2 linked regions of the Caenorhabditis elegans genome follow. The protein of the gene in region 2 interacts with the protein of the main gene of each other region in a pairwise test. Each region holds a gene or a part of one and is shown on either strand. Other genes may lie near its edges.

Region 1 (13,113 bases), on a different chromosome or scaffold from region 2:
AATTAAAAAATACAAAAGTTAAATATTTGTTTAGATTCTGAATGATTCAGCAAAAACTTTTTGAACTATTTGTTCATGGTCACTGAATGATTTCATTTGGATGTTTTTTGTTGTGTTTTGCACAAAATAGACTCAAAATGATCTTAAATTACTGAGATTCTTTACGAGTTGTGGGCGGATGTTAATGTGTTTTCTGTAGGACTGTGTTTAGGTATTTAATCAACAGAAAGGTCTTACATTGGTGTTTCTAAACATTTGAAATCTATTACTTGAATAGATAACAATATCAAGAATATCAAAGTATCACAGAATTGTCATTTTAACGATCTAGGCGATTACGCCCACAAATAAACATTTTATTTCAATGATTCATTATTGTCATGTTTTAAAAAATGTAATTAAAATATGCTTGAATGTTCTATTATTATTGAAAAATCAGTTTTAGCTGATTTTTTGGCATCTTCAGTCTTTGAAAATTAGTTTTAAACAAGGCATTATGGCATTATAGTAAAATTTTTCAAAAAATTATTTACACTCAAAAAGTGAGGAGAATTTGGTTCCCACTATCTTAACTTTGGAAGTTGGTAAATATAATCCATAATTTGATGTATTCTCCCTTGTTTCAACTAAACACTGTGGGGGTGCAGTGCTAGAAATTTCTCAGGGCCCGTGAAGCCTCAACCAATTTCTTCCTTATACTACATGCTTGTTTTTATCCCAAAACTTCTGGACATTGCTGAGTTTTTCGCGTGCTCAGTTGAAACCAAAAGCTTGTGTATCCAGAAAACAAACAAATTTCATAACAAACTTTTTTTCTTGCTCATCATCTGTTCGATAGGCGCCCGTGACTCACATTGTTTTGATTCAACTGACCGTGTGCCCCAACCTTCCACACAAACCATTTTTCCTTTTTCATCCCCAGTTTCTTCAATTCCAACAATATCTAACATTCTTCCTGGCACCGCCCATTTTAACTTTTCCGTTCCCTTTGGATGACTGTGTCCGGAGAGTGTCCGCTTCTTCTCATTTTCCGCGACCTTTTCATTTATTTGTTTATCTCTTTTTGCTCATTTCTCTCAAACCTCTTGCAATTCCTGAGCACTCAATACTCCCAAACACAAAGAGACACCGGTTCGGATAGATGATGAAAAAATTGAGATGCTCAATTTTCTGTTGTGTTCTCATTTTGATTTGCGATTGATTAAAGAGATCCATCGAAAACCTTTTAAATTTAAAACTATTACTTTTATTTTTTTAATTTGCCCTGAAACCAAATTGCAGTTTTCCCTTAGGAAAAATTGAAAATTTTGATTCTGGGAATCAGAGAAAAATTATCGTAAATTTGCAGTTTGATGAAACTTTTAACTGAACCTACAATAATACAAGTGCATTTATTTTGATGGGTGACTCGGTGCGGAAAAACGTTCTTGGTAGCCTTCTTGATATTTCTGAAGACCAATTCTTCTTCTAATTGTCCAATGTTTTAATTTTTATTTTTGGAAGAAGAAAAAATGAAAGAGTAATGTTACTGCAATATTTGTTCGTGTCGAAACCCTTTTGAATAAATAGGTACGCTTTTAAGTACATGTTACTAAAATTTGAAAAATTACAATATAATATTATCAATTTCATAAATTAAATATCACTTTTTTTTATTGATGTCATATAATTTTCGTATGAAAGCAAAAATCACAATCGTGTTCGACATATTATCATGTTTCTATGACTCATATCAATCGGTGAATTTCCAAAATCTTGTTTTATTTTTTATTCTCTCTCCAGACTATTTGCATCGTCTAATTCTCACACCCTCTTACAAATTCTCATCGTTATCATTAAAGTTTACGATTTTTGGAAGTGCTCTTCCCCGATTTTTCGTCATTCTTTTTCAACTTTTATTCCTTTTTCGTCACTTGGCGTAATCTTTGAAACATTTCCTTTTTTAATTTTTTGATTTTCAGAGAGATATCTGGTGACGTGGCAAGAGTTGCAGATGAATAGAATACGGATTCAATAGAGTTTTTGAAATCGCGTGGGAATTTTTTGTACTTTTTCGGTTTTTTCTGTTAGAGAATTGAGATAAAATATTGTAAGGAACAGCGTTCCAGAGAATTTTTTTGTATTCTTGATGCGTTTGATTGTGTGTGATAGGAAAAGAGGCAACTGACTTTCGATTGAACTAATAATATTGTTCGATTGCTACGTTCCCCTGCACATGACTCATTTCCTTCAGCAATGTTCATTTTCTTTTTGAAAATTATTTGTTGTCTTCGAATTTTGAGTTATTATTCAAATTTTTTTGGGTTTGAAATTTTTTGGGTTTTTTGGGTTAATATACATAAAAAATACTCATTGATTAATTGGTTTACTCATAATTAAAGCAGCTTATAATTAAAGATAAAGTGATTTTTAACCAATTGCCAATTCACACACTTTCTATTAGTTTCTAGTTTTAAGTCAATTGCTATGAGAAACCTATCAGTTCCTTTTATCCTATTTTTTTTAATTTGGAAAATTTTATTTTCCTACTACAGTTTTCCATGAACGAATTGAACTTTACTACACCTTGATGTATGCCAAAGCGTCATTATATTGTTCTTTGTATGATTCTTAAAACTAAACAAATGAATTTCAAAAATCAAGAGACCCACCTTCTCGATTACAAACTTGATCCAATGTGCAAACTTTAGCATTTTCCTTTTCCAATCATCATTCCCGTGTATCATCAGTATCATGAAAATATCAACTTGATCAGTTTCAGACTCATAAAGTTGATAAATATTACTAGGTTAAATTGTTGAACAACGTGCAACACGTTATGATGAAAAGCGGAAATCAAACGATTAGAGAGATCAAACTTTTCTTTTTCTGTCTTCGTTTTTTTCGGAATTCGTTATCAGTTGATCGTCGAGATCGGAAATAAAATAGCTATTCCTACAAATCCCCAATTTTTATTTTTAATTTATGAAGAAGTCGCTGCAACTTATCAAACGATCTTTAAATCAAGAAAAAAGAAAAAGAAACTGTGGAATGTACAATAGTTCAGAAAGTCTGACGTCATTTCACAATCTCCGGGAAAAGTCAGGTTGTCATCATCTTTCTTTTTTTCATAAAAAAGCAGGATACGACGAATTAAACTGATAGTCACAAAATAGGAATGAACACAAAACAGGACATTTTGAACTTATCTGTCAGCAGTTAACTATTTCAAAAGAGTATTAAATAAGGAAAATTGGCTCAGTTTTCAGTTTTCTCCTAGGAGACTGACATTAGTTTTAAATTCTAATCTGACACTAGACAGGACTCACTTCTTTTTTTTACGTTTTTCGTGTTTTTGACAAAAGCAGATTTCTCGTTGTTCTCGAAAATAGTGTCAGAAAAGGTGGAATTCCCAAAAGTTTTTATCCTAATTGTTAACTGAGAAACTCACAAAGAAGCTGGCCATTAAAGAATAGCTGAAACATTGCATGTTAAAGTCTTTTTTCGTTACCAGGTAATCCTTCAGGACTTCTTCACTATCATAGAACAAACTGGTGCAATATTTTGTATTTGTCCACCTTTGATCTTCTAAGGTTCTTTCTTTTCATTTTTTATCACCAAATTCCTGTAAGGAGCCCTAAGAGTCTTAGTACATTAAACCTCCTAAACTTTCGATTCTTAAGGTAACATGCCCTCCCGCCTTCTTTTTCTGAATGAACTGCAAGCTTTCACTTATTTTCAAAGTCATCCTTGTAACTTTCGACCTTCTGCTGCTCTGTACAGCATTCCGGTGATAATGACGCAGGAAAGTCGGCAGTAGGAGAGAGTACAAAATTGTCTTAATTTGATAATGAGCCGTTTGTTGAAAGTATTTATAATTTGTGAAGCAACACTTCAGTAAGTAGATCAACCACAAATCATGCCAAGTTGTCGTTCTTATCAGTTTACGTCTCGATATGTCAAGACAATATGATGGTTGTGGGAGCAAATTGAATTCCGAGAAACTTACAATGATAAGAAATTGTAAGAAATAAGTAATATCAGCTAGTTGGTGTAGTTGAGGTTTGAACTTTTCATATGAACGGGAGGAGAGAGAGATAGAGAAACATTTGGAATTCGGAAGTGATTGTTGGCAATACGTAGGTTAGCAGATTAGTGTTGATAGAAATTGATAGACTGTTGGAAAATTGCTGGCACAATATTAGAAGAGTTTTGAATCAAACTAATCATTTCAAAAATTTATATTTAAAGATGGAGTATTTAGAGCCAGTGGGGAATTTTTTTTAAACCTATGGTGCCAAAATTACCAAATAGTAAAACTTTGAAAATAAATTTAATTTGTTATTCTGTTTTAAACAGTTTTGCCCGCTTTTTTGGAGCTCGTCAAAAAAAGGGGGTTTTGACAATTTCTCCATTGGCAACTGACCTTTATCAACAACGATCGAAATGTTAAAATTCAAGTTCAGTACAGAAACTGAATCCAATTTTTGATATGGAGTCTATTTCTTATTATTCGATACCGTTAGAAATCAAAAAATTAAAAATTTTAATTTTCCATGTTAGGTAGCTTATGAATATTCCTATTGAAATCTGGTGCTCATGCTTTCAACTCTAAAAAAATCCCAACACAAATAGGCCATGTTCTTAACTGTGTGATTCTATTAATAGACCTCCTTGTTTCTCATTTCATGACCGTATCATCCAAAACAATTTCAACCGATAGTCCTTTTTCAATGACCTTTTCATAACATTTAACTGTCCTAATCAAATCGGTAGTTTGTTGTTTTAGTTGTTTAACCAAATGGTTTTGTTGCAACTTCAAGCCTCGTGTACCTCTAAAAACAGATATTTTCATCATATCTTATTATGTCTCCGCCTCCTCCTCAATTTCTCACCAATTTCATCTTCTCCTCCTTCTCAATAGTTTTTCTCCCCACACACAAATTGCGCCCGCCCCCAATTTGCATTTTACTGTTGGTGTCCCTTGATGTGTCCCCCTATCGCCCAAAATCCCGTCGTTGTTACGTTACTATTCAGGCGGAACACACACAGTCACCAGAACCATCATATTTTATTTGTTTCTTTTTTCTTTTCCTTTTCTATTTGAAACCATCAACTTGGGATTTCCCATCTCACGTCTCAATGTTGCAGAATCTTTAGTAAAAGTCGAAACACAAATATATGATTTATTGGCAGGTTATTATCAGTTTGTGCCAATTTATTATCGAAGAACAGTTTGATTAAATCAAGTAAAGTCAGAAAGTCTATTCAACTTTTATTAAGAATTTTAAATATTTTCTATAATCTCCAAGAGTTCGACTCATATTAATGTGTATTCTTTACATTATAACTTTTAAAATTCAATTTTTTTCGCTTAAAAGTTCAAAAATCTGAAAAGAACAATCGGACAATCGTTGTGGTCGTCATAGAGCTGAAATGATCTACGAATAGTTCAAAGTACTGTATAATCTAGTAGCCATATACATTTTCATAATCCTCTCCGTATTTCTTTTCACCAATCCGCTCCGTCATTTTGCATTTTTAACAAGTTTCGGTTATTCCATATTTTCATTTACATAACTTACACGTTTATGTTTCTATTTCATGTTAATTCCATAGTATTCTGGATGGTTCCAAAATAGTTTTGAATTGTATATTGTTTGAATTGGTCCAACTCCGAGAATTACCAAAAGTTTAGAACATTTGAAGAAAACATAACAATGTTTGGTTATTGATAACATAAATTTTGTTGAATCTTCAAGCTTCATTTATTCATATTTTTCCAAATTTCAAAAAAGGATTTCTAAATTTAAAATGTCCACTAAACAATCCTTAATCTCTTGGCAGCTCCTCTTCTTCACACGTGGTTTTTTTCAGTTATCAGAACAATAATCGGTGGTGTGCCAGCTTGCTGAATTGGCTTGGCAAACTTTTTTTGCGTCCTTCTCCGCCACCGTCACTCGTTATCATCAATCACAAATTTTTGGCTGCTGCCACGTTAGACTCTGATTTGTAAGGGGGACATGAACTATTATCAGAAGCTAATTCTTAAATTCTAAAATGAAAATATTAATTTAGAAAAACGAGAAATAGATAATAAATGGAAACCTACTCTCGTTTCTTTCTCCAATAAATCAAATAAAAATAAGAAAAGTGCGACTGGTTGAGTCGTTACCTAACTTTATCAATATTTGATTAGAACTTAACAATGTTTTTGAAATGATCCACTTGGACGTACAAGAGGTAGTACACATTAAACTGACCGTTCGATTTTTTTTCTTAACTTTAATTCACTTAGAGAAAGGTAAAAGGAATCCATATATAAATTACGGGATGTAAATAATATTTTATTATTAAAGAAAGGTTTTAAAACAAACTATGTAGAATCTAGTCAAATAAGTAATTTTCTATTTCTGGAGATAATTTTATTTAAAATTGAATTTTCTTAATTACAGAGAAATTACGTTCAAAATCTCATTAAAAGATGTGATAACCCGACACCTCAATACATTGACCGTTTAATTTCTTTCCGTTTTCATATATATTTTCATCTAAACACATTCATATATTTATATATACAAATGAAACCTAAACCCGTTTAATAATCCGCCTGACCGTCTATCCATCCTGTCCGTCCGTCTATCCTCCTGTCCACCTTCCGACCACAATTACCGTCCCTTTTTCTTTCATTTTCACCGTTTATTTTTCTGAAATCCGTTGCTTTAATATGTATACATTTATATATACTTTTTTCCAGCAACAACAAATAGAAGAACACGAATTTTAATTTCAATTAATTCAAAATTTTTCCCATATCGACGCTGCCGTTTGCAGCACCATCTGTTAAAATGGAACAACTTGATGTCGAAGATTGGGAGTATTGGGGTGATGAATATCTTGAAGAAGAACCAACTTATGCAATAAGACCTGGTACAAGAGTTGTGAAAGTTGAAAGGTTAGTAAATCGATTATTATAACTTTTCTGTGCATTTGAACTTGCATCATAACCCTAACTTTTTTGAGAATTAATATCAAATTATTAAGATTTATTTGCTCAATTGATCAGTTGGAGATCATTTCATAGTTTTTTCTTTAATTTTTTGAACTTGTGAGATAAATAATTTTCAAAAAATTTTGTTTACCGAAGCCGCCAAAAAATTTTATCTCAAATATATAGCTCTAGTGGCTCTTTGATAAAAACATTGAAAATTGAAAAGAAAAGATTTACTTGAAACCCCATTTAATGCTAAATCTAAATTTATTCAAAGTCAATGTGATACAAAATCCCTTCAGGCCTTAAACTTTTACATCTATTCTGATATCAAAGCATTTGATAGTTTCAAAGAAATTACGACATTTTGGCAATCAATCGCTGATCTTCTGACGTTTTCAGATCAATTGACAATGATTTAAATGAACTTTTGAGCAATTATCTCAACTCATTAGAGCCATTAGATAGTTTTCAAGAAGCTGCAAGTACGTGTTCTATTTGCATTTTAATTCTAATTCCCTTTTGTATAGGACAGAGTCTCCCCTTTGTTATCTTATTCTTGCCCCGCCACGACGCAACAACCATTTTTGTGATAATAATTTGCAATTTTATCAATGGCACTACTACCTCTGATCACCACCATCTCACACATACTTTGTAAAAGCGCGTCGATCGTAAATACTACTGTCTTGCCACTTTAGTAGTAACCCTGCCACGTGGAAACTTTGAAATTTGGCGTGGAAATGAGTGAAGAGGCACGTGACAAGATGCGCGCGAAGAATGATCAAATTGCGATAAAAAGGGATAGGTGAATGATCTTTGTGATTTGAATGCTACTTGAGGAATGGTTTACATGGAAATTGAGAAAAAGTAAAATAAAAGGGTTCAAGGACGGTAATCGATCAATTTGAATGAATGAAGAAAGATATGATTGTGATTGATAAAAGGAATTTGCTACAAGAAACCGAGACGAACTGCATCGGTTCATATGAGTCAGATGTGTTCTTCGGTTGAAGAAGATCACTTAATTTAGTGAGAAGTTTCTTTTGAGATTCAATTTTGATTATATTCTTAGAAGTTTTCAGAAAGACAGTTTAGTATTCACTCCACAAGGTTAATAGCTAAAAGTATTCTCTACTCGATTCGAAAAATAATTTTTGCGGGTTTTTACTTTTAGTATAAAATATTTGAATTTGAAAAAATCTCTAGTTAGTAGTTTGTTCGTGTGCAAAGCTTAAACAGGATAATTAAAGTATTTTAAAATATAATCCAGCTTTGATTCTAGATCACAATTCAGCATCTACTTATAGATAAACTAGTATATGTTAACTTCCCCTATCCTATCCAATAACCTTTTCCTTATTCAGCTGTAAACAACAATTGATACAAGTTATCTTATCTCCAAATGCCTCCTCCAATTTTATGAGACCCGTAAAAAAATTCGATAGACAAAAAGCATTACGATTTTATTTATTTTGGTGACATTTTGGATCCTTGTAGTCAGAGGCTCTATCATTTGATCTTCTAATATATCTTTACAAAAAGGCAATACATCCAATTAGCCCAATTAGTCTGCACGTCTTGATATAAATATGACATCATACATTTACTGATTCGAATCGTTGATTTTTAATTTAGAATTAAGGATAAACAGAAAGAAGATTTAAGTGTTTGATTGGAGAATATAGGCATCCTATGCTAAAAGCTATCTCTAATTTATTACTGACATCATCCGTTTCTCGTCTGTGTTTCATGTATCTTTATCACCTTTCCCTCCTCTAGTAGAATGACCTAGAAAGTGATTGGCAAGTCTGGCAAGCCTACAGGGGGACAAGGGTTATAAGATTGATAGGTAATAAATTCTTGTAAAATGAAGAAAAAAAATTCTGTGCGGATAAACGAAGCGGAAATCATCATTGTGTGCGTGCTTTGAGGAAAGGTTCGCGCCTGTTTACTTGCCTTGTTCGGAGGTCGAGATTTCGGACACGAACCACCTCATATTTTTCTCTCGTTTCTTTTCTTCGATTCTCTTTTTTCCATTACTATCTCTCTTCCTTTGGTTCTTATTTTCTCGACAGTCTCTTTTGGTCAGTATAGTTCCTAACTAGGAACTGTTCGAAATCTGGCATGATAATTCTTCAAAAACGCTTATGAAACTTCAAAAACTCGGACTATTTTACTGTGAAAGTATATACCTCCGTTCGTTTCAACAAAAAAAAAGTTAAGCTTTGAAACTATAGAAAAATTAATAATACATCTGCTGCCAGTTGATTTTAAATTGATTCAATCGAAAATAGCCAAGATATCAGGTGCCAAAGTTGAGCAAGATTAATTGAGAAAATAATGTTTTTGGGAGTGCATTTTTTCAAATATACAAGTAGTTTATCAACAAAAAATTATTTTGTACTGGTGTAATTGATTTAAAAAACAAGTAATTGATGTGAAAAACAAGCTTAAATACTGTTCTAAAATAAAGTTACAGGTGTTAAAATGTTTTAAACAAATTATTTACTATTTGTTCAAAACCTTAGTGACATCTAATCTTTATGTTTTCATTTTCTCTTCATCCTCTCAAGCGTCTTCTGTTTTGTATTCTTCTTCTTCTTTATTTCAAATCAGTGTCTCTTTCGCCTTGTTATCAGTAAATCGTCGTCGTCTTCTCCTCCTTCATCTCCTTTTATTTCAATGTCACTCCCACTTAATTTCCCCCATTTTGTAATATTATCATAGAGAGACACCGCCCCATAGGTATTCCCCCAAATACGTCAGTTTTTCCACGTGGAACTTTTTGGTCTTTTTGATGTGTGAACTTTGATAGTTTGCAACAAATTGAAATTATGAATTTTTTTTATCATCAATGGAATTGGTCACTGTTCCAATGATTTTTTAATTGGATTCTTAAATGCCTTTTGGCTAGAAAACTTTGCACATTTAGCTCCGATTAAGCAATGAATTTTTACAATAACAAAAAAGTGCCTATCGACTTTCAATTCCGCTTCCACACACAAAATTTTGCAATTTTGAAACTGAAAAAACCGTATCAAATATAATACTCTTTTGAAAGTTTAATCACTTGAAAAATGTAATTCCGTCTTCACCAAAAAACGTTGTATTTTCCAAGACACAAATTATTGTGGGAAGATCAAGAAATCAAAATTTCAAGGACACACTCTAGTTTTTAAATTTTATTATTTTTGTGTTTGAAACTAATTTTCCCGATCTTTTAACTTTAAAATTTCCAGAGTTCCAATGATGCGAGGAGATTTAAGGACAAGCGGTGCCACGTCATCAAGTGGTCCCGCCACGTCATATATCATCAGGCCCAGTGACAAGCAACCCACAGTTTCTAGTGGTGGATCACAGAATGGAGATTCAGTTTGTGCTGTTTGTGGTGACGGAATTGCAAAATTACATTATGGAGTACTTGCATGTTATGGATGTAAAGGATTCTTTAGAAGAACACTGACTGGAAAATATCGATATGCATGCAGATTCTCAAATAATTGTATTGTTGATAAATGTAAGTTTTTTAAAGAATAAATTCGAATATACTTGACTGAGTATCTTTATAATCAAGAAAATACCTGAAGTTTCGGTTTTCAGTCCAGCGAAATAGTTGCCGATACTGCAGATTTCAACGTTGTATTCAAGCAGGAATGGATCCAAAAGCAGTCAGGCCGGATAGGGATCAGACAGGAAAACAGAAAGTTCCAAGAATTAAGAAGAAGCAAATTGATGAGGAGCTTTTAAATCATATGGTATGTTTTGAAAATGTAGATACACTGAAAAAAAACTGGTGGCAAATTTAAAATTTCCAAAAATTTGACAATTCACAAAAACTTGACATAAAATTATGGAAAATCTCAAAATGATTTGAGTGTTTTTTGTGATGTTTTCTATTTGTTCTGGAATAATCGAGTGAAAAATGTTTATGCATATTCAAACAGTTAAAATTTAGTTTGTGTTGTTGATAAAATCCAGAATAACTTACACTATACATGAATGATGTATAAATTAATACTTGAAATTTTCAGATGCGGTTACAAGGAGATGATTGGTCACGAAAACTTCCTGTCGAGACTCGAATTTTATTAATGCAATTGATGAGTATTGAGGATAAAGTAGTAAAAGGAGATAATAATATGAGTGCACAAAACACTGCAAAAGATCCAAAAAGTATTTCATTACGGGAAATGTTTGAATCAAAACCTGCATTAGATGGTCGACGGATGGAAATTGGTTATGAACCATTTCGAATGGCAAGAACTGAAGAACTTGGAGTAATTGCTCATAGAAGAGCAATTGCAGCTGTTGATTGGGTTGATTCATTAACTGAAATTGCGGATGCAGTTGATACTGAAGATAAAGTTGCATTGGTTAAAAGTTGTTACTCGCCGTTAACTATTTTCAATTTCTCTGCGAGAACTGCTCAGAATACGAAGAATCCGGATATTTTGTGTCTTTGCAGTCATTCATTTGTTCCAAGAAGATTGCCTCCAGAGTTTAATGAGACAAAGTAAGTTGGAATTTTAATTTAATTCCAATTTTTATCAACGCAATAAAAATATATGAAAAATACTATTTAAAATTAAAGAAAATTAATTTGATTTATTCAGTCATCTCTCAAACTTCCTGATTGATCGAACGTTAAATGAATTGGTGGCTCCATTGAGAAAATTAAATCTGAAAGAAGAAGAAATTGTTCCATTAAAAGCAATTATTATTTTAAATCCAAATGCAAAAGGACTATCCGAGCATGCGAGGCACGCGATTTCTGAGTTGAGAGATAAAGTTCAAGATATGCTTTTCCAAATTGTCAAGGAGCTTCATCCAATCTATTCTGCAAGCAGCCGATTTGGAAACTTGTTGCTTCTTCTGCCAACAATTACTGTTAGTCGTCATTACTGTTGCATTCTCTATTTCAAAACATTTCAGACTCTTTCCGGATTGATGTCTGAAAACATGCATTTCTGTCAAGCTCTTGGAGGACGTGCAAGTGGAGATAACTTGTTAGCTGAAATGTTTGGAGATAGAACATTTGATGATCAACTTATCAGCAGCAGCATTAGCCCACCACTATTCGAGAATCCAGCTGAAATTTGTTTAGAGGTCAGTTCACTAAAAATGACTGAAAGATCAAACTTTATATCATTATCTTTTTCTTTTAATTGTCATTAAAACTATAAACTCATTAAAACTATAAAATTTCGGAGTTTCTCGGAGAATTGAAAGTTGAAATTTGCCAACTACCAACTGATAAATGGCAATGATAAGAGTGTGCAAAAATCTAATTTCTTGTTTGTTTGCAGAGTATCTCACCGCCAATGTCTGATCGAAGATTCGTGAGAAGGGTAGATGTGGCAACACAGACAAATGATGATTTGTTATCATCTGGACCATATCTTCCACATTCAAATTCATGTAGCTCCATGCTTAATGCTGGATACTCTCCTCCAATGGTGAGAGAAGTTTGAAAATATTTATGGAATTTGAGGGAAAATATGTTGAAACTTTCTTGGATAGTAAAGATTCTAAATTGAGGGAACTAGCTTCAATGCGTTTTACACAAACATATTCTTAAGAATATACAAGAAGTTTGAAAAACGTTCAAAAAAGCTCAGATAGAGGCTGTGACTATTATCGATTTTTCTTTTATACAAATCGGTACCTATTTTTGCTAACTCGCTCCAAGTCTCTTAACATTTTTTTCTTGGGAATTTCTATTTCTATTATTAACACCGTTTCAAGTTAAGACTAAAGTGGTCGAGCCCAAGAAACTCCTTCCATATGTGGGCTTTTTTGCGTTTTTCAAATGTCTTGTGGCTAGGGAAATGTTTCTTTAAAATTAACATTAAAAAATCCAAATTCTCCAAAATTTATATAATGAGTGAATTTTCAGCTGTCAACATCTCCATTCCCACTTCTCGATGACAATGACAGTGCCTTCCAGAATGACATCAGTTTGACTGAGCTGAATGGTTGTGAAGAGTTCTTCAGTCAACTTATGGATCAACCAATCATTGACAGCTAAAATCTACAGACCAACCCATCTTGCCCGTAATTTCTCATTACTTATATGTGTACATATCTCATTAAAAAAGATCGTTTTCCTATACATACAATATACATACATAGTAAGTTAT
Region 2 (13,113 bases):
ATACTGATTTTTCTTTTATATTTCCGTGGCCACAAAGTTTTTGATTTTTTCAATATCGACCGAGATATAGGCTTTTAAAATCCGTAAAATATAGATTAAAAATAATAAAGGGCGGTGTTTTTTACGATTCTGATGAATTTGCAGAAATTATCAAAACGAATTGATTATTTGAAAATGTTTGAAAATTACTTTCCATCGAAAAACCCGGAAAAAATCATACAAGTTATCGAAAAAACATTACCGGCAATTTTCAACTTTCAGACAATTTCTGAGCACTTTTTCAGTTGTTCCAAATCACATAAAGGTTATTTTCAAAAAAAACAAGTTTTTTTTAAATCTTATCACTAATTTTTATGAAAAAATATTGTTAGAATATGTCACACTGGATCATTTTGTAGAAGCCGCAGGAAGAGACGCTTATTACTTGGCAGGAATTTCTAGTGTGCACATCAAAATTATGCTCAATGAATCTTTCAAAAAGTTATTCTCCCCATTTCCGATACTAAATCCACCAAGTGAGAACATATTTGGGACGAGTAGTAGTCACCTCCATCATGCAAATGGATCAATTTCCGGCTGTGAGCCATCATGCTCTTCCTCATTCATAAACTTTATGTCTTCTTCTTCTTCTTTTCTATATTTTTCATTGATATAATCCTTGTCATGACAATTTTCTTTTTTCCCTCTCAACCTTTGCGTGTTTACCGCCAGTAGTGTTGCGTGTCATGTCTCTATAAATATTCCAGATGGCTCTCCCCGGCACCCTCCAAAATTTGGATGCTCTTTGGGTCTAGGCGGGTGCTGATAAATTGATAATAAGATCTGTCTCTCTTTCTCACTCGTTTACTTCTAAAACGAGTCATTCCCCCGTCCAGCCCGTTTTTGGCCCCTTCCCTTTCCACCCACTTCTCTACACGTTTTGTATAGTCTCTGACACCAAGTTTTCAATTTTTGGCAGCGCCGATGGATGCATGAGCGTCTACCATTTGATCATTTCTTCTTCATGTCATCCAGCGATACTTTTGAGAAACTGTATATTGAGCAACATGGTTTGTCTTTCAGTTATTATTGAACAGATGCACGGATCGTGTGAAAATCTTTCTGAAACAGTTATTGCAAAAAAAACGTTTAAGTTGCCTTTTTTACATTGCAAACTTCGGTGTGTGAAATTCTGGCGGTTGAGAAGTTGGGCCTCTCAGAGTTCAATAAAATGTCTGCTTCTTTTTACCTCTGACTATTTCCAAAATAATATTTGAAAGCTGCTACTGTTTTTTTTTCTGGAAATAATGGGACAAAATCTGATTTCGGGTGAATTTTGATGTCTAAAATAAGTGATAAGGCAAGCTTCAATGGCAAACAAAACAATTTTTGAATTTCTGAAAAGTAAGACGCAAAACCTGTGAAGCATCTAGAATGCATTTTTAGAAAAGTTTTAAACAAATACCAAAAAATATATATAATTTTTTCAGACGCACCATCAGAGGAACAAGTTGAAGAATGGTTGGCAACCGGTGAAGTTCTGAAGCTTGAACAAATCGTGCTTGATGGAAGAGGACATATGCTTAGAGAGAAGAAGACGGTTAATGCTTCAAGTAACGAATTTCTGTCGGGACTTACACAGTATTTAACGAAAATTGATGCAATACACAAAGCAGTTGAGGAAGGAGATGTTCGAAGAGTTAAATCATTGATTGATCGGCCGCTTTTATCAACTGCCAGAGATAATTATGGTGGGTTTCATTTTAGTTTTGCAAACTTTTCCTACTCTCCAGCGCGCTTTTCCAGCTTTTTAGGTAATCTCAGGATATATATACTAGAGAGTTAAGGAAATTTCCCACCAATTTGGAAAATGTTGCTTACTATTAGAGAAGAGCGCGAGAAAATTGGGGAAATGTAGTAGAGAGTGGAGAAACTTCTTAGAAAGTTGGAGAACTGGCTGGAAGGCTTTTAAACTTTTTTGGAAAATCCGAGAAGAGCGGTGGGAAAGTTTGCGAGAAAAGTAAAAAAGAGCTCAGATCTCGAAAAAACTGGTGTTTTGAAATTTCATTTTTCGATTTGAAAACTTCCTTGCAACTTCTTCAAATTAAACTTTTGATCTTCCGTTTCCTGTAATCATCATCACAATCTTTCAGGAATGACGCCAATTCATAAAGCATTACTTCATGGCCAAACAAACACAGTGCGCTTCCTTCTTGGCCGCTTCCCAAGCTGTGTGAACGCCACTGATCACGTCAGTTTTTCATATTTTTTCCCATCTAGCTGGCTCAACGAGCACACCCAAATCCTCACCAAAAACAACAACAAATCCTCTTTTCTTTCTTTTCTTATACATCATTTTGTCGAGCAATTCGAATGGCTTCTTTTTCCTTCTTTTTTAGTTTTTAGGGAATTGAATTATATAGAAAACATTGATTTTCAATATTTTCTGAGTTCTTGATTTCATGAACCTTGAATTTATTTATATCAGTAGATAGAGAAATTCTTTGCAGAGAATTTTTGGAATCCTCGTAGACTCAGTATCTAACGGGGTGTTTAACAAATCGCCTTTGAAAAAAAATGTTAGAATTTGTTTTAATTTAAAAGGGCATAATATTCTCGTAATTCTTGCTTACTTCAAAAACTTCTTAAAAATTTCCAGGCTGGCCGAACCCCACTCCACTACGCTGCTGCTGATCCAAATGGTGAACATATGATAAAAGTGCTGCAGAAAAGTGGTGGAGACGCATTTATAGAGGATAAACACGGTCATACTCCATTCTATTATCGAACACACGGTCAACGATTGAATGTTCGATCGATGAAAGACAACGCGGTTATGAATCAACTCATTTCGGGACAGTTGAGCAGGCCGTTGTTACAAGATTTAGAAGAGGATATTTATGATTGGATTCATACTGGAAATATTGGAAAGTTGGAAGAATTGGTGCTTACCGGGTATGCAGATTTATTATTGGGAAGGAATCATGAAGTTGATGATGCTGATAGTATTGGATTTTTAGAAGTGCTACCTCAATATCAGGTGAGGATCATGGACTTGTCTGAAAATTTTTGGAATATTCTGGAGAGTTCTAGATAAATTTTAAAAAATTGTGGAAAGTTTGAATGAAATTCTGAATATCTTTGAGAATTGTCTGGAATAATTTGAGAAGCTGCTTGTTCAATCTGCAACTGCGTTTACTAGGCCACCGTGCATAACTTATTTAGGCCAGATGACTTATAGCCGTAAACAAAGCGTATGACGTCACAATTATTTAAAACTTACACAGTGTCATCTCAATACATCAAATTTGACGCGCAACTTTTAAAGTTTACCATATTTATTTATAGATACCGTATGGAACTATAATACTACTCAACTAATAACAAGTTTATATATCTTATTTCCAGGCAAAGATCCAATCAATCCACAAAGCAGTCGAAACAGGAAATCTTCGAGCCGTCAAGTTGTTGACTGATCGTAAGAAGCTATCACTTTGTAGAGATACCCGAGGCCTTTCTCCACTTCACAAGGCAATTGTTTTTGAACGAACTGATATTGCAAAATACCTTATTCGAAATTATCCGCAGTCTGTGAACGCTATGGATCAGGTTGGCTTCTGGGGTTTAAATTTTAAAAAGTAAATAAATTTGCAGAAGAAAAGGACTCCACTTCACTACGCAGCCGCATTGAAAGACGGAGGATACTTGTATAAGGTTATGAGGAAATCTGGAGCTGATCCGAATATTTATGATTGTGTAAGTTGATTTCTCCGATGCACCATGAGCGCAAAAATATTTCAAAAAAATGAAAAATATTATAAATAATAATTTTCAGAATGGTCGCCCTGCAAAATACTACTTAAAACATACCGGAGAAATCGATCTATCAGCAATGCGACTCGACACTCGAGCAGCTTTAAAACAAGTCTTACATAATAGAGTTGCTCCAAGCTATCTAGAATCCTCAATTCAACAATGGCTCCGTGATGGACAGCTGGCGAAATTGGAGCAATTGGTGTTGTCGGGATGTGGAGACTTGCTGCAAAGTCGGACATCGACTCATACGGAAACTCAGGCATTTTTGGATAGATTACCGGATTATATGGTGGGTTGAGGTGCAAAAATGTCTGCCGGTTTGCCTTGAAAGGCGGCTTACGCCTGCCTACTTTTTCAATAAAAAAACCGAAAAATTGTTGTTTTTTTCAAACATAAAAAATACAATTTATTTATGATTATGAATCGGAACAGTAATCAAAAAATCGGAACAGTAATCAAATTTATTTTTCAAAAAAATTTAACTTTTCGAAAGTTAAAAAATTATAACTTTTTTATATTAGAGTTTCCGAAAAAATTGAAAAAAATTAAATTGATTTTTTGGAAAATTCAAGAAATCTAAAATGCCCGATTAAATTTATTAAATAAAAAAAAGAAATTCAAATTCCAGGACAAAATCGATGGAATCCATAAATCAATAAAAGAAGGCAACTTGGACAAAGTTAAAGAACTAATGAAGACGAAAAAATTAGCAATTGCAAGAGATCGATTTGGATGTACACCTTTGCATTCTGCAGTTGTTCATGAGCACACTGAAATTGTCCGGTATATTGCAGGACACTATAACTCTGTTTTAAATGCTCCTGATTATGTAAGGATTTTAGATTTTTAAAGACCTAAATAAGTTAATTTGGATCCTTTTCCAGAATAAGCGAACTGCAATGCATTACGCTGCCGCGGCAAGAGATGGAGGTCATTACCTGAAAATTCTTGGAAAAGCTGGAGCCGATCCGATGGCTGTTGATAACGAAGGAAGAACACCTGATTATTACCGAAGGAATGCAGTTATTGATTTGAAACTTATCAAGGATCGGGATGAAGATTTTGAGACTATAAATGAGGAGTATTTAGAGGATGGGCCATTGATTGATTCTCCAGCTACACCTGATTCAGGAAGTGAAGGGTCATTCATTGATAGTGCACGTATGTTGGATGATGAGGATGAAAGTATTGAAAGGCATCGGTTTGAGAAGGCGTTCAGAGGGAAGATTGATTTGCCAACGTCGGAGAATGGAGTATATCTCGCAAGGACGGTGGCGCCTGTTTTGACTAAAGCGCTGGCAGAGGTAGGTATTGTAAAATTAGTAGCGGCTGACGTTTCGCGGGCTGGACCCGTGTTTCGTAGTTGTGTCGGCCATAGCAGCCGACGATTTAGAGGTGACCCGGGATATGTCGGCCGCTTTCACGTTCTTTGCCAGTACGAATGACACTTTTCAAAGCAGCCGACTCCTCACGGATCAGCCATTAGGTGTTCAGCATAACCGGCCGACGTCGGGCGCTTCTATTTTTATGGCCGCCAGTAAATTTTAAGTCAGCACTCATGTACAGCAGCCGACTCTTCATGGGTTAGGGCTAGGATTTGAAGCAGGGAGATGTCGGCCGCTTTCTTTTTTATTGACAGCAAAATTTCAAAACATCTTAGTATAACTGCCGGCACCTCACTAGCGGGAAATAAGGATTAGGGTTATAACAAAACCATGAGATGTCGACTACTCGAGAAACTGACAAATTTTAAGTGCCAACTAGAAAACGTGTTTGGCAGCCGACATCATAAGGCTTTAGTAAAGCGGCCGACACTTCGCGCGCACGCTTCAGAGATTATGCTGAACCCGTTAAATGTCCGCTGCAATTTTAAGCATTTATTTTTTTTCAGGTTCTACTTCGCCGTCCTGCCGACCCTATTGGATTTATTGCCGAGTGGCTCTCAAAATACGTCGTAGAAATTCCACGTCACAATGGAAGTCATTGATTTCAACACATTTTTTAAGAATAAAAAAAGGAGAAACTTTTTTATTTCAATAAAATGTGTCATTTTTTGGGAAAATTTGTTGTCATTGGTATAAGTTAAATACATCATGGAATCATCTAGAAGACAGAAATGGGTGAAAAGGGTCTTGGACGGAGAGAAAATAGTGTCATTGGGGTTAATAAATCAGTCACGGGGGTGCAAAAAGGATCACCAACAAATGGGGAAATGACGATGATTTGGAGGATTTTTGGAAAATAGCTAATTTCTAAAAAAAATTAAAAATTAAATAGGAAAAAAGGTGAGTATTATAGGGAGATCTTGGAAAGTTGTTCGGGTTTCATCGATGAGTTCTTTTTCTGAAGCTGTGTAAACCGAAGGTAGGCGGCCGAGAAGGGGTGTACTACCTTGATGTGAGATAGATAGACTTCGAACTTTTCGTCCGTATAACCACAATCTTCACAGACGAATACCTGGAAATGTAGAAGTTATTGTCGGTCGGTGTGTGCCTAGATGCCTAGATGCCTAGATGCCTACATGCCTACATGCCTACATGCCTACATGCCTACATGCCTACATGCCTACATGCCTACATGCCTACATGCCTACATGCCTACATGCCTACATGCCTACATGCCTACGTACCTTCATGCCTACATGCCTACATGTCTACATGCCTACATGTCTACATGCCTACATGCCTATTTTCTATTTCTATTTTGTCTATTGTTTGAGTCTACTTTGAGAGTAGGCACGCAGGCGTAGGCAGACATGCATACCTTTCTGTCAACTCACCTTACTACGACGCTCTTTGTAGGCATATTGATGAGTGACACCGTGAACTTTCCGTAAATGGGATTCCAAGGAGCATCGTTGAGTGAACGACTTCTCGCATTGCTCACATTTGTAGGGACGGACGCCTGGAATACAGAAGGTCATAGGTAGATAGGCACGCCTGCCTTTGTCTGCTTATTTTTGAATTTATTATTAAACAATTTTCTATTCAAATAACTTTTTAGAAATACATTAAAATGAGCAGAACGTGTTGTCGGTTTCAATTTTAATGTGGTCCCCTTGATTTTCCACCGTAAATCAAGTTAGAATCGTCGACAATTTGCGGTGAAAATGTGTGGAATATTACGCTTCGCTACAATGGATTCAATGACACCCCACAAAAAAGCAGTGTGCTAGACAAACAGACGCAGACAATTGTCTTCCAACCGTAAGTCAACGGAGGGTAAGAAGAACGACAAATTAGTGGTTATGAATTGGTGGCAGAGGTAGAGGAGTACTTTAAAGTGTTGAGAGGTACCTGTATGTGTTCTGGTATGCCTTTTTAAGTCGAATGTATCGTTGAAACCCTTTCCACAAAATGTGCATAGATACCGTTTCAGGTCACTATGACACTTTATGTGACGGTTCAGAAGACGTTGTAAACCGAACTTTTTGCCGCAAATGTGACAGGTTAATGAATCTTGGAACTCGTCTTTGCTGGAGGAGATGAGGGATGAAGGAGATACTGTTGAACACGGAATTGAGGTGGTTTCGAAGGAGCTGATCAACGGAGCCAGGGGGTTTTTGACTCCGTAGCCTCCGTTTACAAACTCCACTGCTGGATTTATAATTGGCTGAAAATCAGAAAAAAAAAATTTAGAATTTTCCTTGATTAGCGTCTTACACTGGGTATGGCTGCCTTGGGTGATGGCGAAAGAATCGATGCTGGTGGTGAAGGATCATCATCGAGAAATCGTTCAATGAGAAACTGAAAATGTTCCTTTCATCGTAGATAAGTATTGTGCCTGCCAATGTGTCTATCTAGGCTACGCGGTTCAAAACGAAAAAGATAATTTCAGGCGGTTTCAGAACAAAAAATATTAGATAAAAATTTCAAGATGGCCGAGATTTCTAATTTTCTAGGCCACCAACTTTCCATTCCTACCTTTTTCGAATTCTTCTCTTCGGGTTTGCTGCTATTGGTGCTACTTCTCGAAATTGATGTATTATTATTATTTGCAATCATCTGAATTCACACTTTCAAGTTTTTTTTTTGAAATCAAGACTCAAATACCTGAGTAATAACACTAATGTCTCGAGGCAGCAAATGCGCTCCAATCAGCGGCAGCCATACCCGTGAATCCATCTGAAATTGAGCAGAGCTGAAAATTTTTGTGATGATTTTGTGGAATTTTTTCCAAACAAGGAACAACAAGCGGAAGCGTCCGAGTCGGGGCGGGGTGTGTTATCACCGAAGAAATCCAATCCGGCAATTATTTCAAATACTCGGCGCCAGATAATAATAGGTACAATGTCTCGGATGTCGGGAATAATTGGAATATGGAGGTGTTGGCTCCGAGAGCACAAAATCACGGTAGGGAGAGGATAATCATGAAACCGAAAGTGAAATTTAGGATTTTTCTGGGATGGTTTAGGGGAGAGGTACACAAAACTATTGAGCGTTCCCACAAGCCGAAGCCTAGGCTTAAGCCAAAGCTTATGCCTAAGCTGAAGCCTACGCTGGAAGACTGAGCCTAAAGCAAAGCCTGAGCCTAAGCCCTAGCTTGAGCCTAATCTTAAGCCTAAGCTTAAGTCTAAGCCTAGACCTAAACCACAAAAAAAAGTTGGGTAATTTTCACGAAACTCTCCCAAAACCATTTTTAGTTCAACAATAAAAAAAATCCGAAAAAAATATTTTGTATTTTTTTAAATATTTTTTTGTGTTTTTTGTGCATATAGTTTTGAAAAAGTTGCATTTATAACAGGAAATTTCAGTAAGACAGAAAAATCTTCAGTTTTTGGCTGGAAAACTGAAATATCTGAGAGAAAAATTACCTAATCGAATTGTTTCAAAATTTGAGCTAGAAACATAGATAAATATTTGGTTCACTTGAAAAACTATTTTTATTTTTGTTGAAAATTTTTAAAAATCCCCCAAAATAATTTCTGCAAATTGCCAGAAAATATAAAAATGATGCAAGAAGGGACATGAAACTTCTTCTTACATGTAGATATATTAATATAATTGTAAGGATATATGACACAAGTATATTAGGCAACTAGTAGACGGTTACAGTTCCCCCTTCTTCCCTTTTGTGTGTTGGTGAAACGGATGAGCACTTGGCGCACTTGAGAAGCGGTTTCTAGAGAGAAGAAGAAGAAGCATCAATTGGAAAGAGAGGAACAACAAAACAATTGTGTATGGCACCAGAAGAAGAAACAGTTGCCCAATGCCAAGATGGGGGAACGTTTAGCAACGGATGAGCTTGTGGCGATTAGAAGGCAGGTTGGCCGTGACTACAAGAGGATTACGGTAGGCAGACATGAAGACCGTTTTGAAAAAGGAAGAGAGGGGGATTATTGCGTAATCGTTCAGGGAAGGGGTTTCGAAGTTTTCTTCTTTTTCTGCTTTTTTTTTGAGAACGAACTTTCAAAAAAAAAAACTGAAAAAAAAAGAAAACAAGTTCCAAAGGCGCGTTTTCCTGTCTACATGCCTACATGCCTACAAGCCGCCGCCTAGCGCCTTCTTCTTGTTGGAATGAACTTTGGCATTATGTATCTGAGCAGGCAAGGTAGGCAATAGGCACGTATTCAGGCACAAGGCAGGCGAAGGTTGTCTTAGATGCAGGCAGGTATTACTGTGCCGAAGTGGTTTTTTCTTGGAATTTAGATGATACTCTGAAACTTTCGATGAACTCAAAAATGTGGCTATCATATTTTTGCGAGAAAAACTAAATTAAGTTACAGTAAATCTTAAAATTCTTATTTTTAATGAGTGGCCTAGTTTTCTCAATCTTTTTGTGATTTTTCTCCTAAAATTACGGCCATGGGTCCTGGCACGAGCGAAAAAAAAACTTTCCAACTACCGTACTCTCTTTTACCGGCAATTAAAAATTTCCAAATTTAATATAAAGTTCAAAAAACTGAATTCAAATACCAGCGATATATCAAATTAATTAACAAGTAACGGGAGAAAAGTGTCATAAAAGTCGTTTTTGATATCTATCAGGAAAAAAGTGATAAGGGTGAGATAATAGTGGCGGCTGAGAACGCAAGAACTTTTTTCATTGATAAGAACACAGATATCAATTTAATGAAAAATCGCATTGAGGTCCCGCAACAAACCCCAAATTTGGGTCTCGTCGCGAAAATAAATTTACTTATTTTTTTGCGATAAGACTCATCTCATTTTCGTAGTTCGTAGAAATAACTGAAATTGTTCAATTCTCCAAAACAAAATAAAACACAACAATGAAGATGCAACCAGTTGTATACCGGTGAGGAAGGGGTACGGTATCACATAAACCCGCGTCGCTTCAGTCGGTCCGCAATATCAGCGGTATAGGACCTCCCCTTGTGTTTGTATATTTGATTTTGAGAGAGGAGACGGAACGATTACCTTTTTCCTCTTCTTTTTTTTGCATTCTACCGTATCAGGGCGTCACGCTGTCTGCGTCTATATCATCACAAAAGAGGTGTTGAAACTGTGGGATCTTCTGAAGACAACGATGACGGCGCGCGCGCGCACGGTGCATTTATGAAGCGTGACGGTAAGGAAGAGATGAGAAGACGGAGGGACACGTTTTTGAATCACTGGTTGATCAGCCAGTTTGGCGAGAGGAATTGGCAAGGTCGGGATGGAATGAGTTTTCAGGGTGATACAGCACACCTCCAAATACGGAGAAATGTAGTTTTGAACGAGTAAGTACTTTTTAGACAATGTGCACATTACGTATTCTTTGGGCACAACTCTAGTCGTTCATCTCGCCGTCATTCGCCCAATTTGGAACGCCACCGAACTATAGTTAAAAAATAAAAGTAAAAGGAAATGTCTATTTTAAAAAAATCTCTCCAATTTTACAAGATCGGCTTCATGCCTACATGCCGCTTTTCTAATACATTCCGAGTTAGCTGGAAGATTGTTCCATTTGAAAAACTCAAATTCAAATATTTTGGAGTCCGTCTCACTCAAAATATGTATATAAAAAGTATGCCCTTTCGTGGCGGGACCTTTCCTTAAAATTACCAAAAAAAATCCAAAAGACATAGTGATCCAAAATTTCAGAAAAAGAGTACAGTGACCTTTTGGTCCCACCACGAAAGATACAAAACGGAGAAGAACAAGTATGGAAACATCAAACAATGATACGGTCATGTTACGGTGGAAATACGTAACCGCCCTTCTTCTTCTCCTTTTTTCAATCGTCGTTTCGTTACGGTAAATCGCGCACCGCAAACTTGCGCCTTTCCTGTCCTCCTCCCCTCCATCTCCTCCATCATCAAAATCCGCGCCATATTTTCCGGCAAATTGCGGACAAAACTCGCGCGCGCGCGCCTTCTTTCCGCCTTGGGGACCTCACACCTTCAGACAACATACACTAATTATACGGATATATATTCGACATACGACCACCACATTAGAAACGCCGCCTGATGCTTCAACTTTTTTCTACCGGGACAAAATGAGCGGAGAGACATTTGAAATGACATGACGATTTGCTAGAAGGTGACGATGAACACGACCTCCTGGTGAAGTCAATTTAACTTGAGAATAACGAGAAAGATGAATTAGAAATATCGGAGGAAGCTTCTTTTTTTATTGGAACGGACCAAGATGATTGCGAGACCGGAGAAATGACACAAATAATTGGAGTACTGTAGCCTTGCCCCCCTCTCGTTTGCTCTACTTTGGCCGCTTATATCTCCGCTATTTTTGAGTAAATAAAAAATTGTTGAACAATAAAAATGTAAACAGTTGATCTTGTTTTTAATAAAACTATAAAAACCCAAGATATATGATATCAAAGTAGAGCAAAATGGGTTGCGAAACTGAGAGAACTGAAGAAGAAACATGGTGCATCGGAACCCAAAACTAGTAGGAATTGGTGTCTTACTGATTGTTCAGATTATTTATTGATTTTTATTTATTCATTTGGCAAAAATCATACAAAAATCAGCTGTTAACAATAATTCCCAATTAATGTGTACACAGGCCATTTTTTACAAAGTTTTGAACCGCCTTAACTTTTTTGAGAAATTTTCAAATTGTCTCATTCAAAGTTCAGCAGTTTTGGGCTATTTGGAGTCTAAAAAGCAAATTCTCAGATTTTAGTTGTCCATCTTCAATGAATATTCCTATTATTTTTTTAACTTGCACTAACTTTTTTCACGTATTTTGTCAGTTGACTATTTTTGGATAAAGTCAAAAACTACCGAGATATGAGTTTTTGAAGTTGAGGAAGGGATTGCAAGTCAATTTAAAAAGAATTCCGTGTCCTTATTTAAAGCTACATACCGTTTTTCAAAATGTTTCAGTTGGCGCCAGGGCCTATATACAACTTGATTGAAATCAGCAGGAACTAAAATAGGTTTTACCGAGTTGCTTTACAAGCCCAAAAATCCTGGAACAAAATGAGAATGCTCAGAAAAGTTTTAAAAAATTCACGTTGATGAACAATTTTCCAGGCAGTAAGATGAAGCTTTAAATAAACTTGATCGAAACTTTACAAATGAACTGATTCTTGTGTGAATCCAAGGTCTCTCTCTCTCTCTTTTTTCAATCGTCACCGCCTCCTCTTCGTCTTTTCTACAGTAAGTATGCGGTTGTGTGTGTGTTTCTTTTGTGTCTGTTATTAAGAACCTGACGACCCCAGCCGATCATCCTTTATTACTTCTTCTCACTTCAATGCATCGTTATTTTCGTTTGGGTCCTTCCGTTGGGTAACTGTCTTCCTTTGCTAATTGTTGACACTTCCCGATTTGCACTTTATGGTGGATGGAGGAGAAGCTTATTTACAGATGCAGAAGCTTTTTAAGAGGGAAGGCCAATCACAAAATGTCCTCTTGGAAATCAATTCCGCCGTATTGATAGATCTCAAATTGTAGGCACTGACGCCTGGAAATGCCTAGGCATATGTTTAAGCTCAATCTTAGCCTTTCCGCTTGCCTCCTTGAATACAAGGCGACCAACGCCTACCTCCTTACCTACAAGTCGACCTACTCCTACCTCCTTGCCTACAAGGCGACCTACGCCTACCTCCTGGCCTACAAGGTGACCTACGCCTACCTCCTTGCCTACAAGGCTACCTACGCCTCACGGCCCGAGCAGTGGTACCTGTACGCAATTTGTCTACCGTATACCTGGACGTTTGGGCGCGTGTATCTCAAAAACGGTTGGTCCAGTTTTTTTGTGATGCATATAAAAAATGTCCGAAATTAAATTCTAAATTTTTTTGGACCAAAGCTTTTTTCGTTATCACGCGCCCAAACCTGGTCTACACTCAAATTATCAGTAGAGCGCATTTGCATGGATGTACCACTTGCCGGGCCGTGCGCCTACC

The links.
Region 1: the proteins of lin-48 (region 2) and nhr-31 interact in a two-hybrid assay, tested with the Caenorhabditis elegans proteins (one large-scale study listed by BioGRID).

The regions. Positions count from the first base shown.
Region 1 is NC_003282.8:8,023,137-8,036,249, reverse strand, and holds the start of nhr-31 (Nuclear hormone receptor family member nhr-31), read left to right. Parts: upstream 1-6,736; 5' UTR 6,737-6,827; coding exon 6,828-6,934; intron 6,935-7,592; exon of another isoform or gene 7,593-7,739; intron 7,740-10,212; coding exon 10,213-10,490; intron 10,491-10,573; coding exon 10,574-10,728; intron 10,729-11,004; coding exon 11,005-11,486; intron 11,487-11,586; coding exon 11,587-11,860; intron 11,861-11,905; coding exon 11,906-12,079; intron 12,080-12,279; coding exon 12,280-12,429; intron 12,430-12,869; coding exon 12,870-13,001; 3' UTR 13,002-13,113. UniProt on the Caenorhabditis elegans protein: Orphan nuclear receptor.
Region 2 is NC_003281.10:3,740,267-3,753,379, reverse strand, and holds lin-48 (Transcription factor ovo-like homolog lin-48), read right to left. Parts: upstream 7,943-13,113; 5' UTR 7,920-7,942; coding exon 7,848-7,919; intron 7,800-7,847; coding exon 7,719-7,799; intron 7,542-7,718; coding exon 7,458-7,541; intron 7,408-7,457; coding exon 7,092-7,407; intron 6,700-7,091; coding exon 6,575-6,699; intron 6,253-6,574; coding exon 6,088-6,252; 3' UTR 5,808-6,087; downstream 1-5,807. Other genes in the region: arcp-1 (ANK_REP_REGION domain-containing protein), read left to right, coding at 1,470-1,730, 2,133-2,230, 2,639-3,019, 3,388-3,588, 3,634-3,735, 3,815-4,084, 4,424-4,624, 4,680-5,099 and 1 more. UniProt on the Caenorhabditis elegans protein: Transcription factor. Involved in development of the hindgut, the male tail, and the excretory duct cell. Involved in modulating function of excretory duct cells. Plays a role in left/right patterning of cell fates in the hindgut.